2 linked regions of the Anolis sagrei genome follow. The protein of the gene in region 2 interacts with the protein of the main gene of each other region in a biochemical or structural test. Links are inferred from orthologs where the notes say so. Each region holds a gene or a part of one and is shown on either strand. Other genes may lie near its edges.

Region 1 (10,186 bases), on a different chromosome or scaffold from region 2:
GGTCCTGGATTTCACTAAACTACAAACCCCAAAATTCTGCAGGAGGCAGAAACCAGATTTAAAGTGGATCCATACTCTGGTGTGATGAAGCTGTAAGTTTGTTTGTTTGTTTTTGATTAGGCTTCACATTGCACAAATATAACATATTGTACAGTTATAGCTCTGTCTTATGGAATCTGGGGACTAATAGTTTTGTGAGCTGCTGCTGCTCTGTGGCAGACATTTCTAAATACCACTTCCAGTTTTCCAGAGGATGGAGCCATGGCTTTTAAAGTGCTACGAAAATACTGTAACCATGTAGTGTGAAATAGACCTTGGAGTAATTATTTTTCCCAAGAAAGCCTTTGCAACTTATTGTCATGGCACTTTCTCTGTAATATTTTTAGAGTCCTCTTGAAACAAAATAACTTTGATTGATGTTTGCTGTATGCACATCCATACAATGTTCATAAAAACAGCCTGTCTCGCTTCTGCTTTCTTTGATTTTTATTAATTGAACAAAACACTGAAAACAAAGTTTCTAATAAAATTATATTTATGGCAACTATGCCATCTAGATACACTTAACACTGTCAAATAATTTACTACATCTTAAGTTGATTTTTCTATGACCATTAGTAGACAGCACACATGATAAGGAGAATAATAAAACAGACTGAACATACTATTTAAAAGCATGATATTTAAGAAAAATAATATACAATGGAAGAAATAAGTTCCCCCGAAGTTCTCTAAATCCATGTCTGTGTACAATTTATAGGAAAATCAATATTCTATCAAATATACAGTCTTAAGAATTAGTATGAAATGTTGCTTACAACTATTTGTGTAAAATTGATTAGTTTAATCATGGTGTTTTGCAAAGATATCAGGATTATTTTCAAGTACATGTGAAATGAATGCATATGCTGACAATGAACACTGAGGATTAATCCTGTAGAGAGGGATTAACATTATTTAGGCTTTCAAACTACCAGTGTTAAGGAACCTATTGGCATTAGGTTTGCCAACGTCCCTGTAAATTCAAAACTTAATATGATATGAAAATCTAAATGTCCTTTGAGGAAGATGTATTACATCGTCTTGCTAAGAGGTTATCCAGGCATGGACAGGTATGCCATGCTATTAAATTATGGAGAAATTAGAGCATAAACTGATGCCAGAATGATACAATGAGGCTTTTTAAAGCCTGCAGCCTAAAGACTGAGGGGCAAAAAGGCTGAGTGGGAATAACACCTTATCTTGCCCTGTTTCACTCACCAAAATATCTTAGGCCACCACTAGGTCTAGTAGTAGCAAATTAGTGCTACAATGTGTCCAGAATAAAGACATACAATAAGTGAAATGTTATTCTGCTTCTTCTGTGAATGAATTCCAGTTTTTATCAAAAACATATAGCCTGAGCCTATCAGCTAGTTCACTAGTTACAAGCACAATCTTGCTACACTCGTGCAATGGCATAACCTATGGCTTTGCCACATGAATTTATATGGCATGATTGTGCCAAGATATTTTAGAGCTCTTATGCTGGCAATCACAAACATCTCCAGATGTGTCACAGCTGTTCAGTGGCACAGAAATGGATTGACAAGGTGCCCAGTGGAAGAATAATTGAGGATGTGACCGATTATAATATCACTATGCATAGGGGCATTTCCACCACTACAGAGCCCAAAGCATTGGGCAATCATCCATGTCCAAGGTTTGGTGGTTTCCTTGCAGAGGTTGCAGCTGAGAGGCTGCATAGAAAGTAGACATGCATAACTAGCCAGCATTGAAATACAACTATAGCTATTGTCAGTGCAACCCCCTTTGGGTAATAATACAGTGCTGGTCCATAGAATTGAAGTGTTCAAAGTTCATATATTAAAATCAGCCGCTGGGAAAAGCTTTGTCCAGAGAGCCACGTGAAAGGCTGTGCTGCTACCTACAGCCACATGACTCCACTACCATGTCTTCATATTGTTTGTAGACCACATTATTGGCAGAGTCAATAAACAGGATGCTAATGGGACTCAGCCTTGTTGGCACGCAGCAAGTTGGAGGCGTTGACTCTGGATCCATAGAGTTCATTAATGTTTGGATAACAGCATGATTGGTCGGTTCCAGATGAGACCGAAGAGGGAATTCACAGAGTCCTTCACAATGATAAGCTTCATACTCAAGAGGTGCTATTATCCAGTCATCCCATCCCATATCTTTAAAATTTACATGCAGTGCTTTTTTGCTACATCTTGCCTTCAGATTCTTGTTGGGCCTCTTTCCTTGTCGAGTTGCTAGAGGAGCCCTTCTCTTTCTTCTTTGATTGAATAGGTATTCATAAACAGTTTTGTCATCCTGGCCAGATCTGGCTTTGATTTCATTGAAGAACAAGTCTCTTTTCTTTGTCCTACCAAACACTAAAAACAGAGCCTTTTCATTGACTTGCCTCCCTGTTCTATTAAACCCCACAGTCCTTAAATCAACAGGCCTCCCCCTTTCAAAAGCTTCCAGTTCAAAACACAAGTTAGCAGAGTTTTTAAAATTCCTAAAAAGTTTCCAAATGTCAAAAACTTCCCATTTTGCAGTATCTAAGATATTGACAGTTCGAGAGTCCAAGAGGATGGACGCTTGCCGGTTTGTGGAGCAACTGAAAAGTTTCACTTGGCATGTTTTCCCATGAGGATGAGGCTTCCAGGTATCTGAAGGTTTTTTCCTCAAAATACGAAGTTCTGCTCCTAGTAAGCCGTCTTTTTCTAAGGCACTGATATCAAACATATATTTCTGCTTTTTTACAGTGGGAGCTCGGTCATCTAAAGAGAAAAGAAGGAAGACATTCATGTATCTCAGACAGAAATTTGCTTTTTGTTTTCAGCTTTTTGAAACAACATACAATGTCTACAGTTACAGTAGAGTCTCGCTTATCCAACCTTTGCTCATCCAACGTTCTGTATTATCCAATGCAGTCTGCCTCCCACCTGCATCCACAGCTATTACAATACATTATAATGTTTTGGTGCTAAATTCATAATACAAGAATTACTACCTAACATTACCGTGCATTGTACTGATTTTTCTGTCGATTTGTTGTAAAACATGATGTTTTGGTTCTTAATTTGTAAAATCATAACGTAATTTGACGTTTTAATACACTTTTCCTTAATCACTTATTGTCCAACATTTTCACTTATCCAATGTTCTGCTGGCCTGTTTATGTTGGATAAGTGAGACTTTACTGTAATTTGAAATGACACATTAGCTCTGTTAGGAATTAGAAGTTTACTAGAATATTCAAGTTCAGACATGGAAATATTTCTGCTTCATCGTCAGGAGCCATTTCCTCCACCACATTAAGGTTAATCAGTGAAAGTTAACTTATACTCAAATATATGTAAAATTATTGTACTAGGCTGTTAATGAGAGTTTGTGGCTTTCTTTACTAGTAATGCATTATGATAAATGAATGGAGACAACCCTGGCAGACTGAAAACAAAATAAAATAGAAAGTCACACATCAGTCAAGCATGTTTAAAGTTTGAAAATAAAGCATCTAAGCTGTACCATCACCTAAAAAGATATTTGCCTTACCATATTTTAAATCTTGACAACCAGCCCCTTCACGACCTGTATATTGCATTGCCATCCAAAGTCTTCATGGTACTTCATATACAGCCTTGCCTTTGTTTACATACTTCCAAAACTTTTACAGTGAAAATGAATGCATGAATCTGTGATGGATGAAAGCTACTTTCCATAATCAAAGTTGTATGCAGCCCACCTTCCAGTGACACTTGTCTGGGAGCACTGTGCACTCAGCACTTGATCCAGAGCTTGGAAAATGTGCTTTCTTAGACTCTATCATTATATTGACTAGCTGGGAAATTTTGAGAGTTCCACTTCAGAAAAAAACTAAAATTTTGAAGCTCTGATATAGGTTACATAGACTTTGTGAAGGTCTAAAAAAATACAAATGGTCTCATAAATTCCTCTACCAGTGTTATCGTCACTACTTCATCACACTAGAGAATGGATCCACTTTAAATCCAGTTTCTGCCTCTTACAGAATTCTGGGGTTTATAGTTTAGTGAGGCTGTTAAAGGCTCCTCCCTAAACTACAAACCCTAGAATTGTGCTGGAGGCAACAACTGGGTTTAAAGTGGATTCAAGAGTAAATCACATGTATATTTACCAAAGTATATTTAATTTCATTTCATTTCTACAGATCCCCCCCCCCCAAAAAAAAAAAAAAGATTTAGAGGTGGCCTGATTCTTGTTCTTCTTAAGTCCGCCTTTATAGTTAAAGCTTGAATAGATATTGATTGATCTGGTCTTGCTGCTGGAGAAGTAATTGTTTAGATCCAAACTTAAAGAGTTGAACCCATTGAAAGTTTCATATTGACTAAAGTCCCAGCGATAATGCATCTAGATACATTCTGTCGCCATCATATTTTTTTTGATGCACATTCCACAGAATATATTATTTTTAAATCCTTGTGCCAAATAGCCTTAAAATTACTAGTAGTATACAGTAACGGCATAAACCATCTACAAAATCCCAGTTCTGATGCTGAAAATGCTCTTTAAATCTGCATTGTAAACATGAAAATGTGTGCAATCAGCCACGTTTTACATCTTTCCATAAATACAAAAAAAGGAAGCATTCATATTCAACAAATGCACATTAATATATCTCCAAACATTAGCTTTTCTTACCTTGTCCCTTGTCTATGAAGCTTGTGATTGTATTGGCAAGTCCGGTCTCCAGTTTCACACTTCCGTTCACACCTTTTCTTTCCGCATCAGACAGAGTCCTGTATAAGGAAAGCATGTATTCGTGGGGTGTGATAGCAGGATGTCTTAATGACTCTTTAGATTCTCTTTGGGCAATAGAGTCTTTAGGCTTTTTGTTTTTATAAGAGCTGGCATCAGAATTCCCTGTGCCAGTTTTCTTCGGTGGGGCTTTGGGGCCAAAGTTCTGAACCTTTGGAGTCACTGTTCTCACTCCAGTTTGCCTGTTTGGAGGATGTCCTCCTACCTTTTTGTCTGTGCTCCCTGCTTTAGGGAGAGCCTTCTTTGAGTCATCAGTTTTTGCCACGAGAGTTCCAGCTTGAGCAGTGTTGGTTTTTGTCCTTGGCTTGGAATTCCCAGTGCTATATCCATGGCTTCCCGTTCTAAAGGTACCTGCCCTTGGCAAAGGGTTCCTCTCTTTTCCATCTACTTTTGATACAGCTAATTTGGCTCCTGGATTCCCTTGACTTGCTTCAGCAGGACTCAACACTAAGGAGATGAGAACGAGATGAAACCAACAAAAGTGCCAAAGCAGTAAAGTAAGAAAGTGCAAGATTTTCATCCTCTGGTCTTCCTTTGAATGCCTCCAAAGAAAAATTCAGAAAAGATTCCTCTTCTAGTTTGGCATAAGAAAACATGAAAGAAATTGAAAACCAAAGTCAGCAGGAAAAGCTTTATTTTCAGCTTAAAACACTTTAAATCTACTTGTCCAATCTTTGTATCCAGTCCCATAGTGGAGATGCTCATTTACTCCGTTCCGTCTTCTCCTGGTTTCTGCTAGCAGCCTGTTCTTGAAAAGAGAAAGTTTACTACCCCCCTTTCTTCTGTAAAAGTGACTAAAAACTTGAAGGACTCTTGTTTAAATCGGAGAGGGTTTTTTTTTCCAAGAAGGAAGAATGGCGTAATGCTGCCTCTGTGTTAAAAGGTTTTTAAAAAAGTTTTGAATCCCTTCCAGTGAAAATATTTCACACACAGAAACCTGCAGGTGCTCAGAAATCTTTTACAAACCTGAACTCAGGAATTGGAAGCGGAATTCCAACAAAAACCTATTTAATTACTCTCTGATGTCATGCTGTCTAAACTAATTTAAGTGTGATATATTTCTTTTAAAAAGTCTTCTTTGCCCTTTCCATTAGCATGAGTCATACCCTGCTTCATGTAAAATAACTCTGTAGGACCAAAAAATCTATAGAATATGCAATTTAAAGTGGCAACATGTTGCCTATTTTAGCCTTAAATGAACTTCTCATTTGAAACAAGACAGAGTCACATAAGATAAAACAGTACACGCTTTTAGCAAGATCATGTCTAAATAACAATATTGATCTCTGTGAATAATATCTAATTCACAGCTGTTTTTATAAAGCTCTGAACATAGAACCCAGTATTTTCTCAGCAGCAATTTCATTCTTTGGGTTGGTGATGACAGCACAGAAGTGAACAAGAGTATTAACAAAATGTAGTCATCCCTGCTAAGCATTTTAAAACATTATGACACACTGAAACAAGAAAAAAAATAATCTGATACATTTCCAGGGAATATATTGTATATTCTGTTATATTAATATGTTCCCTGGTTGACTTTGGAAGTCCATAGACATTCATTGTTAGGCAGCAACATTTGTTCCAGGAACATGGACCTTCTATACACTGGAAGCATTAAGGGATCTCAATACCATATTCTGGAGCTAAATCCTATTATCTTAAATAACTTGGATACAAATGTGATATTTGGTTTAAAGGCTTATCACTCTTTCCAGTTTTCGACTACTGAATAATGGGATGGACCACATAAAGAAGGGATAGAAATGCCTTAAAGAGAAGAAGGAGGGAAGGAAGGTAATGAGCAAGACAGAGAGGAGAAGGTGACACAAGGTGTAAAGGAAGTTGATGTGGTAGCACAAAGAGGAAAGGGAAGGTGGATGGTGCAGTGCAGAGCGTAAGGAGTGGATAAGGAAGGAATGGCAGCAGCAATAGGCAAGGGCCAGAGAAATGAATGGGACAAGGTAGGTGCACTGAAAGGGAGAAAAGCAAGATAATAGTAGCTCAGGTTCCCAGGAAGAGCATAGTGGTGTAATTTATCACTCCTGGTACTCTCTTCCTTTGATAGCCAGCTTATGAGAGAAACTTGTGGCATAATGTAAAATAAACCACATGTAGTTCACATTTAATCAGTCCACACACTGCCTTGCCAGATAAAGAAAATATGAACAATAAAGAACAAGTAGTTTACTCTTTGTAGTTCATAACAACATATGTACAGTCATGTGATCAGTTACATCAGTTCACATAATGTGCTTTTATGAGAGATTTAAAATAGTCTTTCTTTGTCCATGTGGAGAAACTCCTTTAGCAGCTCATAAAGCAAGAACACACTCTAAATGCTGTCTCTCTCTGCTTCTCTCTTCTTCTCTCTGCGTCTCTCAGAGCACCTGCATAGCTCAAGCCTGAAAAATGTAACAGTGACCAAAAATCCCAGGCTTAGCTTGTTCCCCAGGCACAGCCCGACCAATCAGCTTCATACATCTTATTTTACCATTAACACACACATTAACTGATTTCTTGCATGCTGTAACGCAACTCAGAGGAAAGCAGAAGCTGAGAAAAGGCCAGAGGTGAGGATGGATGGATGGGTAAACAGATCGAAGCTTACTGAGTCAGATTATTTTGACCTGAGATTTTGGAGGAACAGATTCAAATGTGGAAGGACTAACTCTACATTTATTTAATGTAGTCAGTGGAGGTAGGCTGGCCACTAGGATCACCATTTCAGAACTATCTCAGAAACACAAGTCCATAGGCCAAAATCTGGGACCTAGGAATGGTCTTTGGTGGTGTCAAGCATTATGCATTAGGTACCCATGATAATTACTCACACACTATATTATGCTGTTTAGAAATATAGGGAAAAAAACTTTGCTAAAGGGGTTGTAATTAAATCAATGTGAAATTAGGTGGTTAGGATAAGGAGCATAAGAAATATTTAAGCCAAAAGATGGATGCAGAATGGAGGCTAAATCTTGATGCCAGGAGGGATGGTGGGAACTAACTAAATACATAGACACCCCCCACCCCACGAAGAATGTTTGCAAGATGCATCAACAGTACAACCCTTGCAAATTCTAGGAAACTGCAATTCTACTATTTAAGATAGTCTGGTGCTGAGTTCACCAAAACTGCAGAATTTGTACCCTCGTGTCTTGCTTGGAAATAACCAATGAAAATTTGAGGCTTAGGATCAGATGCTGAGATTTGGCAACCCTATTTGTCATACCAGATTAATATTTTGTTTGATTCTTTTTAATGAAACCAAATACTTTCTGAGTGTAACAGTGTTACTCTGTTGGAGCAAAACAGTAGTGTCTACTTGCAAGCTTTAATAAGTTTTATTTGCCATAAAGCTTTGTAAACTGCAGCCCATTTCAACAGATTCATGAAGTGTTGTCTCAGCTGACAGATGATTACACACATTGTTGGATGGGAGCAGGTCATTAAGTGAGGTGAGAGGAAACTGAAATATTAAAAGTACAAACATCAACTGGTAATTAATCACGAATAGCTGGGTGATGGCATGGAATTCTTACCACAAATAAACTGATTAGTTCATATATTGTGAGGAAACAGGGAACAGGAAAAGGAAAGTTAAATTCTATTCTATTCTAGTAGTTACAAAAAAAAATTCTGCATTTCTGAAGGAAAACTCACCCTGCTTTTTCCTCCTGCAACTGCTTTGTTTTTTTCTTACCTTCCTTTTCATTTCCTCCTGTGAATCAGATGGCAGTCAGTCTCAATTACTTTTTGTGATTGTACCTTTTTGCTATCAATAAAAATAATTATGGCGAAAAGATCCAGTGATTGAGAAGGGTCATGCATGATATCATCATTATCATTATTTGAAAATTAGAATGCAAATTAGTAATGTAAACTGTGAACATACAGACATGCACATGTATATAAGCATAGATAAGCAGGTAAATATATGCATAGTGTAGAAAAATATTTGGCTAGTACATTGGCACAGAAACAGTAAAATGCCATCAATAAGCTTCTTTTTTGTGTGTCAGGAGCGACTTGAGAAACTGCAAGTTGCTTCTGGTGTGAGATAATTGACTGTCTGCAAAGACGTTGCCTAGGGGATGCCTGGATGTTTGATGTTTTACCATCCTTGTGGGAAGCTTCTCTCATGTCCCCGCATGGGGAGCTGGAGCTGACAGAGGGAGCTCAACCCACCCTCCCCAGATTTGAACCGCTGACCTATCAGTTAGCAGTTCTGCTAGCACAAGGGTTTAACCCACTGTGCCACCGGGGGCTCCATCAATAAGCTGGCATGGGGAGAATCCTATCGTTACAAATGTAACAGTGATTAAAGTCATATTTAAATATATGCCATTAGCCAATAAAAATTGTTTGCCTTCATATCTCCATTAATGGACTGGGATTTGTGAATATATACCCGTTCAGCTTTTTTTCTTTTCCATCTCCATTAAAAGTGTTCTGTTAATGAACTGTACCTTGGAGGTCTGGGATGGAATGACCAACAACGTTGAAATATTCTTCCACCGTTTTCTTGGTATTTCCATTTCTAATATCAGAATAAAAGTGATGATTTGTGGCGGGGGATGACAATTGCTTCTCCTGTAGTTCTGGATACTTCTAATCCTTCCAAGATGGGATCTTGGGAAATTGCTGTGCAAAAAAACCTTCACTGTGCTCACAGGTGACTTCACATACAGAAGCAAGCTCCAAAATGTGTTAATGCTTTGCCTAATTGTATATATATTTTTTTTAAAAAATATTTTGTTACTTTCAACGGCTCTCTTGTGTTTTTCTTTCTGTTCAGGTTTCATATTCCAGAAATGGGTCTATCAATATACTAAAATTTCTCCCAGACTTTGTTAGGGGTGTGAATAAATAACAATAACTGTAGGTAAATATGTTATTGGATGCACCAACTATTGCTAGGTATTTAACTTTTAGTTCCTTAGTCCTGTAATAGTAACTTTGTTCAGCTATATCTGCATATCTGAATTTGTTTCAGGTGTGTTCCATTCCATATTATATTGTTGTATTCTGTATTTCAACACACTGTACAGAGCTTAGAGAACTTTAGCTAATGGTGGTTTTAAAGTGCAACAAATATATAAATAACATAGGACACACTCTCTCTCTCATGCATAGGTAAAGGTAAAGGTTTCCCTTGATATTAAGTCTAGTTGGGTCCCACTCTGAGGGGTGGTGCTTGTCTCCTTTTCTAAGCTGAAGAGCTGGCATTGCCCGTAGGTCATGTGGCTGACATGACTTTGAAATGGAGCGCCATTAGCTTTCTGCCGAAGTAGTACCTATTGATCTATTCATATTTGCATGTTTTCAAACTGCCGGAGCTGGGGCTAATAACAGGAGCTCACTCCATCTCAAGGAT
Region 2 (10,186 bases):
GAGTCACCTCCATTTCAGTGGACTGAGGCCTCATCTTCACTGTCACAGAATGCACTGTCACAGTTTAAGTGCATTCTATGGCAGTGTAGATTAATATAATCTAGTTCGATGCAGTTAACTGCATTTTGAATCTGTATTCTATGGCAGTTCAAATGAGGCTTAAGACACACACACATACAGTAGGGTTTAAGAACACAATTAGGACTTAGTTCTGAATAAACATATCAAGACTGCTCTGTTAATTTCAATATTTTTGACAGTGCTATTTCACTACGCAGACAGGGCAAGCTCCGGCTGCTAGTCCCAGCTTCTGCCAAACTAGCAGTTCGAAAACATGCAAATGAGAGTAGATCAATAAGTACCGCTTCTGCAGGAAGGTAATGGCAATCCATGCAGTCATTCTGACCACTCCATGCAGTCATTCTGATGTAGGAGGTGTTTATGGTCATCGCTGGCTCTTCACCTTAGAAATGGAGATGAGCACCACCCCCCAGAGTCGGACACAAGACTTAATGTCAGGGGAAATCTTTACCTTTACTTCACTACAGTCTACCCTCCACCTCCATGGAATCCACCATCCATAGCTCAGAAATATTACCCACTTACCCTTTAAAAAAACAAAAAGTGGCAAAAACGAGTTTTGCTTTTCAAGCTGTGGATAGTTGAATCAGTGGATACAAAACCCACTAATATGAGGTCTCTTCCAACTCTTTGATTCTATGATTCTATATAATAATAATAGGCCTAACCCTTTCCACTCTCCCTTCTCTCCTGGAGCTGCAGACTTAAGAATCTATTTCCCTATCAAATCCTCATACTAATAAATAATATTTTACTCTACAAAAAATTGGATTGTGATTTGTCACTGCAATGTGGTATTGTATAGATCAGACATGGGCAAAATTTGGCCCTCCAGACATTTGGACATCAACTCCCACAATTCCTAACAGCCTACCAGCTGTTAGGAATTGTGGAAATTTGAGTCCAAAACATCTGGAGGGCCAATGTTTGCCCATGCCAGATATATATAGTGGAAATGTAATAAATGAATAATAAAACAGTCCACCAATACTGGCTGTATCTTGACCTAAGCCTATACATGAATTTCATGTATGTTTAAAATACACCTTATTCACAGGGCTGTTAGGAATTGTGGGAATTGAATTCCAAAACACCTGGAGGGCCAAAGTTTGCCCAGTTCTGACCTACACGATAGAAGCAATGCAGTTTAACATCAATTTTAAACTGCTCTGGGAGTTTGAGTTTTGTGAGGCACTTTGGTGCTGTTTTGCTGTTGTAGATCATCACCACATTATTAAATCACATGATGTAAATGTGTATGATGAGGCTTATGTGTTTTTAACTCTTCTTTGGTTGTCAATTAAGTTTTTAAGTTTATATTGATGCTATTTATTTGTTTATTTGGATTTGTTTTGTTGCTCACTTTGTCATTGAATATTTGCCCTTTTTCCCCTTCTGGAAACCACCCTGAGTCCTACTGAGGAGATAGGGCAGGTTACAAATACTTTACTTACCATATCAGAAGTAAACTGAGGGTACAGTTGTAATGCATTTTAAAAAAAACAGCAGCAACAGTTGAAAAACTTGGCATTATACTCTATGTCCTTTTGAGCTGGCCTCTGGTGTTGCTATAAGAAGGTCCTCCATTGTACATGTGACAGGGCTCAGACTACATTGTAATAGGTGGTCTGTGGTTTGCTCCTCTCCACACACACGTCGTGGACTCCACTTTGTGGTTCCAATCCAATAAGCCTTTATTGGCATATACATAGCAAAGAGGTATAAAATACAGTACAAATCATGGAAAAAGGAACTTAACTTTGTGGTCCCATTTCTTAAGGTTGGCTCTGCATCGCGTGGTGCCAGAGTGCAGTCAGTTCAGCACCTTCCAAGTCGCCCAGTATTCTGTGTGCCCAGGAATGGAGTGATCTCATTTGGTGTGGCTTGAGGTTCCAGGTTTTAGCCTGCCACTTTTGGACTCTCTCTTGCTGAGGCGTTCCTGCGAGTATCTCTGTAGGCCAACATTTTTTAATCTAGGGTTCAGGACCCCTGGGAGGGCATTGAGGAGTGTCAGAGGGGTCACCAAAGACCATAAGAAGACCATAAGAAAACATAGTATTTTCTGTATTGTCGAAAGCTTTCATGGACGGAATCACTACCTCTTGAGGATGCTTGCCATAGACGCAGGTGAAACGTCAGGAGAGAATGCCTCTAGACCATGGCCATATAGCCCAAAAAAACCTACAACAGCCCACAGTATTTTCTGTTTGTTATGGGGATTCTGTGTGGAGAGTTTGGCCCAATTCTATCATTGGTTGGGTTCAGAATGATGTTTGATTGGAGGTGAACTATAAATCTAAGCAACTACAACCCCCAAATGTGAAGGTCTATTTTCTGCAAGGTCCACCAGTGTTCACATTTGGACAGTGAGTATTTGTGCCAAGTTTGGTCCAGATCCATCATTGTTTGAGTCCACAGTGCTCTCTAGAGGTAGGTGAACTAGAACTCCAGAACTCAAGGTCAATGCCCACCAAACCTTTCCAGTATTTTATCTTGGTCATGAGAGTTCTGTGTGCCATGTTTGCAGAGACAGCCCTAGGTAATTTTCAAGGGTAAGCAAGCAGTATTTTGCCCCCCCCCCCAAAACAATGATTGATATATATTTTCTGTTCGTCATGGGAGTTCTGTGTGCCATATTTGGTTCAATTTAATCATTGGTGGAGTTCAGAATGTTCTTTGATTGCAGGTGAACTATACATCCCAGTAACGACAACTCACATATGTCAAGGTCTATTTTCCCCCAAGAGTGCCTCAAGAGTGCCCCTGGGCAAAATCAACTATACTGCAAATGCTTACTTTGCGTAATGGGTTGATCCGCCCCTGCATGTTTGGTTCTATTACATCATTGGTGGAGTTCAGAATGCTCTTTGATTGTATGTGAACGATAAATTCCAGCAACTATAACTCCCAAATTACAAAATAAGTCCCCCTCAACCCCACCAGTATTAAAATTTAGGTGTGCTAAATTTGGTCCAGTGAGTGAAAATACATCAGATATTTAGATGACGAATCATAACAATAGCTACGGAAATATTGTTATGGTTGGGAGTCAGCACAACATGAGGAACTGTAACAACAACAACAACAACAACAACTACTACTACTACTACTACTTTATTTTTATACCCCGCTAACCATCTCTCCTAGGGGTGGTTTACAAGGGACATGCCCCAGATTACAATTAAAACATACATGTAAAACACTTTATTAAGGGGTCATGGCATTAGGAAGGTTGAGAACCACTGAAATAAATTATTATTGTTGTTGTTGTTTAGCAGTGAAGGCGTAAAAAAGACCATGGTGGGACTCCCAACCCTGGTGCCTCCACAGCATTGAGCTGAGTTCAAGAGGTGCCAATCTGCACTCATGCTAGTGTAGATACCCCGTCCTGGTGTGGCTGGTTCACTCCGAGCCTTCAGAGGCATGCAACGGAGGTGGAGGGGGTTGCTTTGTTTTGGGAATCGTGTGAATGGGCCGTAACTTGAGCCAGTGTTGAAGGAGAGAGCGAGGCAAGGAGAGAGGGAGAGAAGGAGGGAGGCTGCCTGCCTGCCTGCTGGGCTCACTCCCTCTCGCTCTCTTTCTCCACCGGCTTTCAGAGGAGCCTCTTCGGCGCTGGAGGTGGCTCAGGAGTGGGCTCTGCAAGGGGCCAAGCTGAGGAGGAGCCCCCAGCTCTGCTTCCCCGCCGGGAAAAGGGAGGGCAGCAAGGAGAAAACCCGGCTTCTTCTTCCAGGACTTCTGGCGTGAGTCTCCAGGGGGGAGAGCGGTGGTGGGGCGGCTCTCCAGCGCGGGCTTCCCCTGCCTTGCCTTTGGGAGGCTTTGCAAACCCTTTCGGTGCACTTATGAAGAAGGGGAAGGGGAAGAGGGTCGGGTTTGGGGAGCATGCTGCATGGGAACCGGGACATTTCTGTCCGAGGGGCAACATTTTACCTTCTGTGCCGATACTGTATCTCTCCTGCTTGCTTTAAAGGGGGAAAGAGTGTGTTTTAGGGTGCCCCTGCTACACTGGAATGAATGCATTTGTTCAGTGCTCAAGAGGAAGTTCATTGGCATGGGCAAACTTCAGCCCTCCCTCCAGGTGTTTTGGACTCCAACTCCCACAATTCGGCTGTTAGGAATTGTGGGAGTTGGAGTCCAAAACACCTGGAGGGAGGGCTGAAGTTTGCCCATGCCTAACCTACACTGTAAAATTATTATTATTATTATTATTATTATTATTATTATATTTTCTCAAAAGGGGCCAATCATACATCTTAGAAAATTTACAGATAGAATTAAACTTAGAAGTATTAAACAATAGTGAAAACCACTAAAACTTATAATACTTTAAAAAGACTACATAACACACCCTGCCACTTTAAAGTGGAGCCAAACTGTGTTAAAAACCAATTGGAAGGCATACACCAACAAAAATCCCATATCCAAAATGTTTGTTTGGATCTTAGTGTGTATCTATCTGTATATATCTATACATATACATATCTATATGCATATTTATCTGTGTATGGGAGTTCCCGGTGGTGCAGATGGTTAAACTGCTGAGGTGCTGAACTTGCTGACTGAAAGGTCAGTGGTGCGAATCTGGGGAGCGAGGTAAGCTCCCTCTCTTAGCCCAAGCTTCTGCTAACCTATTTATTTATTTACTACGCTTCTATACCGCCATTCTCAGCCCAAGGGCAACTCATGGCGGTTTACAGAATGGCACAATTCAATGCCCACAACAGTACAAAAATAGTTTAAACATTAAAAATATTTAACATAGATAAAAAATTCATTACAATTAACATCAATAAACATAATAAAAAACCGTAAGTCCTCCGCATTTCGAACCTAGCAGTTCGAAAACATGCAAATGTGAGTAGATCAATAGGTACCTCTTCGGTGGGAAGGTAACGGTGCTCCATGCAGTCATGTTGGCCACATTACCTTAGAACAGTGGTTCCCAACTATGGGCCATGGCCCACTGGTGGGCTGCAAGACCTAAAATAAAGTCCACGGTAACACATTATTAAATATGGTTTTCTGTGGGTAAGCAGATGGTGACTACTGGATGGCATATGTTCTGTATCAGAAGCTGATGTAGCCTATCCAATGCAATTTTCTGAATCGGCACCCCAAATAACCAAACCAAATCTATAGTTGACCAAACCTGATTCATAACCCTTTTGGTACTAATGTTGGAGAGTAGTCCCTAGTAAAAGTGGTCCCTGGTCAAAAAAAAAAGGTTGGGAACCATTACCTTAGAGCAAGGGTCCACAAACTTTGTAAACAGAGGGCCAGGTCACAGTCTCTCAAACTGTTGGAGGGCTGGATTGTAATTTGAAAAAAAACATGAATGAATTCCTATGCACATGGCACATATCTTATTTGTAGTGCAAAAAAACCCACTTAAAAACAATACAATAATTAAAATTAAGAACAGCTTTAACAAATATAAACATTAGTATTTCAATAGGAAGTGTGGGGCTGCTTTTGGCTGATGAGATTGGATTGTTATATGTGCTTTCAAGTCATTTCAGACTTAGGCTGACAGTAAGCAAGGGCCGGGTAAATGACCTTGGAGGGCTGTATCCAGCCCCTGGACCTTAGTTTGAGGACCCCTGTCTTAGAGGCATCTACAGACAATGCTGGATCTTTGGCTTAGAAATGGAGATGAGCACCACCCCCCAGAATCGGACACGACTAGACTTAATGTCAAAGGAAAACCTTAACCTTTATCTATCCATGAGATACAGTGGGCCCCTGATATCCAGAGGTATCCCTTCAGTAAATACAAAAACCCATAGCTGCTCAAGTCCCATTTTACTATTCAAGGGTATCATAAAATTGTGTCCCTTATTATAGAATTCAAGCTTTGCTTTCTGGATTTTGCAAAACATATTTCAAACCCATGGTTGTTTGAATCCATGGATACAGGATACAGGAAGTTGACTGTATCTCAGGACAAAATTAATGCATTATACACACACACACACACACACACACACACACGTGTGTGTGTGTGTGTGCCTAAAGGTAATTTCATGCACAACATTTTTCAATAACTTTGTGTATGAAACAAAGTTTGTGTACATTGAACTAACAGAAAGCGAAACTGTCGCTGTCTTAGCTACTCTTGTGGATGATTTGAGCATTTCAGATTTCTGGATAAGAGATACTCATCCTGTACATAGAGTTCTTCTTCACTTTCTGCTCTGAATTAAAAAAAAGAGTACTCAGGGCAAAATTATGGGAGCCAAAGGATGGGGTATTTCAAAGTATTTTGAAAACTGAAGAGGGCACTTCTACCTTTATTTGTGTTGGAGAAGAGTGATTTTTAGTAGATGTTGGTGGTCAAGCACCCAAGTAACAAGTTGGGTGCTTCAACACCTGTGGAAACTCCCTCTTCTACACAAATGTTAAAGGTACAAGTATCCCCTCCTGTGTTCATTCTGGCCATCCTATAATATGCCATACTACCTGCTCTTTTGGTTGAGGCCTTGAAGTGCACAGGTATAGCTTTATAAACCCAAAGGTCCTGCTTTTTCTGGAATGTTCTCCCCCTCCCATTGTATTTCTCTCCCGGTTGCCTAGAAATCAGAACATGTTTTTAAAAAATGAAAATAGCCACAGATTCTAACGTTCTAGCGAAGATTGCAGACTTGTGATTCCTGAGGCATTTATGTTGGTCAGTTGTGGTGAGATGTTGTGCAAGTCTATCTTTAAATGGTGGGACTGTGAAGAATATGATGAAAGTGAAAATATTATAGGTTCTAACAACTAGAAATTTTACTTAACTTTGCAGAGTTGCATGTGGACAGATATGATATACTTTTAGTGTCTCGTGCAATGTTCTCTTGGGGAGCTAGGGCGGAATATCAATTTATTTATTTATTTATTTATTTATTTATGTGACATATATGTGTGCAAACTCTTTGTCTTTCAGGGTTTATCTGAATTTTTTTTGGGGGGGGGGGCGTGTGTGAATTATTGACAGAGATTGGGTACTGAGAGAGAACAACTCTTCCCAAACTGACTATAGCACAAAACTAGGGAATCAATGGCCTGACAATATGAATAACAAACAGATTTGGATGAGAATTTCCCAATTGCCATTGCACCAAATTATGGATCAGACATACTTGAGATGTGAGAGAAGAGCCTTCCAGCATTAGGCCAAACATCTATCTCTAGTCCACCATTTTGTTTTCCATTGTGCAAATTAACACAATTTCTGGAAAGGAAAATGACATAGCATCACTGTTTCCTCCCTGTACTTGGACTAGTTGTGGTCAACACAGGATTGGTACAGCTACTTTTACATTTTGTTTAAAAAAAAAAAACAAACTCTATTCATTTGAAAAATTAAAGTGTAGTATCAAGGTGCTGTAGAGAACAAAATCCCATCAGTGTGAGGTGGAGACTACATAGTGAAAAAATGGTAGGTGTGTGCACTTTGAGATGCTTGTTGACTTACAGCAACCTGATAGATTTCATAGGTAAGGAATACTAAGAGGGTTTGCCATTTCTTTTCTCTGAAATACATCCTTCAGCATCTGGGGCTTCTTGGTGGTCTCCCAACCAAGGCTGACCCTGCTTAACTTCCAAGATCAGATGGAATCTGATGTCTTTAGGGTATGCCAGGGAGCAGAAATAGCATGTATGTGCACATGCATCATGAGCCACTAATGTAGCTTGTTGTGTTTGTTTCTAATTTGAGAACAGGTGTCATATCCAAAAGGTACACAAACCACATGAATGAATACTGTGCTCTCTTGGCCTGTGGTTGGTCAGTGCAGCATAGATTAGTCTCACAGTGTGGTGAGGTTTGGAAAACTAAAAGCAGGAAAGAGTACTGCTTATGTCCTATTCGTAAAGGTCAAATATGTGATTATTAAGAGTACAGTAATGGTACTGAGAGTTCTTTATCAAAGGCAGCACTGGCAGCATCTGCTAACTTAGTGTTCTAACAGGTGTTCTCCCTCTCTGTCTGCTTTAATTTTCCACTCTTGCTATGAAGATAAACCACACTTGGTTGGGAACTTACACTATTGCCTTCACAAGGTCAGTACTTCATACAGTACACATTGCACCTGCATTGTTTTGCTTTTTTCTGCTCTGAAGAATAGAGCATTTAAATGGAAATAGTATTGATGCTTTCCTATTTGCCCTGTTCTGTCTTATGGACTACATCAGAGGCACAGCTTGGGAAAGTGACTGTTTTGGACTAAAGTTCTCTCGATCTCACAATGAGCATGAACATTGTCCATGCTTATATGGGTCTTGCAGGAAATGTAGCCTAAAACAGTAACTTTTCAGCATCTGATTTGGGCAAAGACTGGAGCATTCCTTATCTAGAATTCCAAATTCTCCAAAATCTGACCTTGTCTACATGAGTGGCTAGGATAGTGACACCTTTGCATTTTGACTCTTCAGAATGCACAAACTTTTTTTCATGCACAACATAATTTAAAATATTTTGTTTAAAATTACCTTCAACTATGTGCATAGTAGGGTGGCCAACTTTCGACCAGAAATTTAAAAGAGATTTAGTTGTGACAAATGTTACATATTTTTACCAGTGCAGTGTCACTCCAGCAAATATTCATGGAATGGATAATATTAAAGAAGACTTTTTACAAATCCTGTCCAACAGACCCAGTCTGCGTTTCCTCCTTGTTCTCCCTGTCCAGCTGGGTGTTTTTATCAACATCTGCATTGGGAGGGTTGTTAAGTAGGACCTGGAGCATTGAGTTGCAGCAGCACTGTCTGCAATAAAATCTGAAGTAGGAAATAATATCTTACTTGACCTGGTTGTTTCATTTCATGTATGCACATTGTTAGTTAGGTATGAAGGTTTATGGGAACATGGCAAACTTGTCCATCCCCTCTTTCTCCTTTTTCTCTTCTTTTTCCTTCCCCTCTTCTTACTCTCTGCCTTTCTCCTCTTGCTCCTCCTCTCTTCTTCTCCCTTCGTCCTCTACTCCTTTTCTTCTTTCCCCACCTCATTCTCCTCTCCTTTTTCTTACTCCTCCTTTCACTTGTGCCTGGGAACATAGAGGCGGGGGGCATCCCAAAGCTCCACCTCCTGTTCCTCACTGTAGGACTTCTACTGAGGCGGAGAGGGCTCACCTGGAGAGGGATTGGAAGAGAGAAACTGAGGCTGTACTACAATAGCAATCTGGGAGTTGGGATTATTCCAAAAATTATCTGAAATATGGAATAATGGAGAGGGGGTGTGTGCACTAGTATAAGGTGCTTATGGAATATAAACAGATTGGGTCCCATCCCCAAGATATTTCATTACCTACATATAGGTATTCCTAAATCCAAGACACTTCAGATGCCATGCATTTTAGATAAAGGTCTGGAGAACAAGCCCTATGAGGAGTGGCTTAAAGACCTGGGCGTGTTTAGCCTGAAGAAGAGAAGGCTGAGAGGAGACATGATAGCCATGTATAAATATGTGAGAGGAAGTCATAGGGAGGAGGGAGAAAGCTTGTTTTTTGCTGCCCCGGAGACTAGGACGTGGAACAATGGTTTAAAATTACAAGAAAAGAGATTCCATTTGAACGTTAGGAAGAACTTCCTGACTGTGAGAGCTGTTCAGCAGTGGAACTCTCTGCTGCGGAGTGTGGTGGAAGCTCCTTCTTTGGGGGCTTTTAAACGGAGGCTGAATGGTCATCTGTCGGGGGTGCTTTGGATGCAATTTTCCTGCTTCTTGGCAGGGGGTTGGACTGGATGGCCCACAAGGACTCTTCGAGCTCAATGATTCTATGATTCAACATATACTTCATTTTAATAGCATCAGGAACTGTTAATGGGAGAGGTTTTCCCTTTTAATGGTAAGAACAAAGCTGGGTTTTTTTTTTTTTTGAGGAAAACTCTATTGAAGAGAAGCAAATGCATGACTGTTCATAACTTCAGAATGATGAATCTCTGAGCAGGAACATGACGAAGTCTTAAAACCGCTTCAGACAGCTACAGATAAATCACTTTTGATAACACCTAGCTTAGAGAAAAACCAGTATGCTTTCTTGACATTTAAGAGAAGTCTTGTAAAGCACAGAAAGTTTCAGATAGAATCCCAGGTATTTCTACCTTGACACCTGGGATAACTACTGCCAAA

The links. The genes of interacting proteins can lie anywhere in the genome.
Region 1: the proteins of BMPR1B (region 2) and GDF5 interact in a biophysical measurement, tested with the Homo sapiens proteins (3 studies listed by BioGRID and IntAct, with this or other methods). The link is inferred for Anolis sagrei from reciprocal best matches to the Homo sapiens genes BMPR1B and GDF5.

What each region holds. Positions count from the first base shown.
Region 1 is NC_090024.1:206,777,810-206,787,995, forward strand, and holds GDF5 (growth/differentiation factor 5), read right to left. Parts: upstream 5,759-10,186; 5' UTR 5,330-5,758; coding exon 4,693-5,329; intron 2,793-4,692; coding exon 1,924-2,792; 3' UTR 541-1,923; downstream 1-540. UniProt on the Homo sapiens protein: Growth factor involved in bone and cartilage formation. During cartilage development regulates differentiation of chondrogenic tissue through two pathways.
Region 2 is NC_090025.1:23,797,132-23,807,317, forward strand, and holds the start of BMPR1B (bone morphogenetic protein receptor type-1B), read left to right. Parts: upstream 1-3,475; 5' UTR 3,476-3,821; intron 3,822-10,186. UniProt on the Homo sapiens protein: On ligand binding, forms a receptor complex consisting of two type II and two type I transmembrane serine/threonine kinases.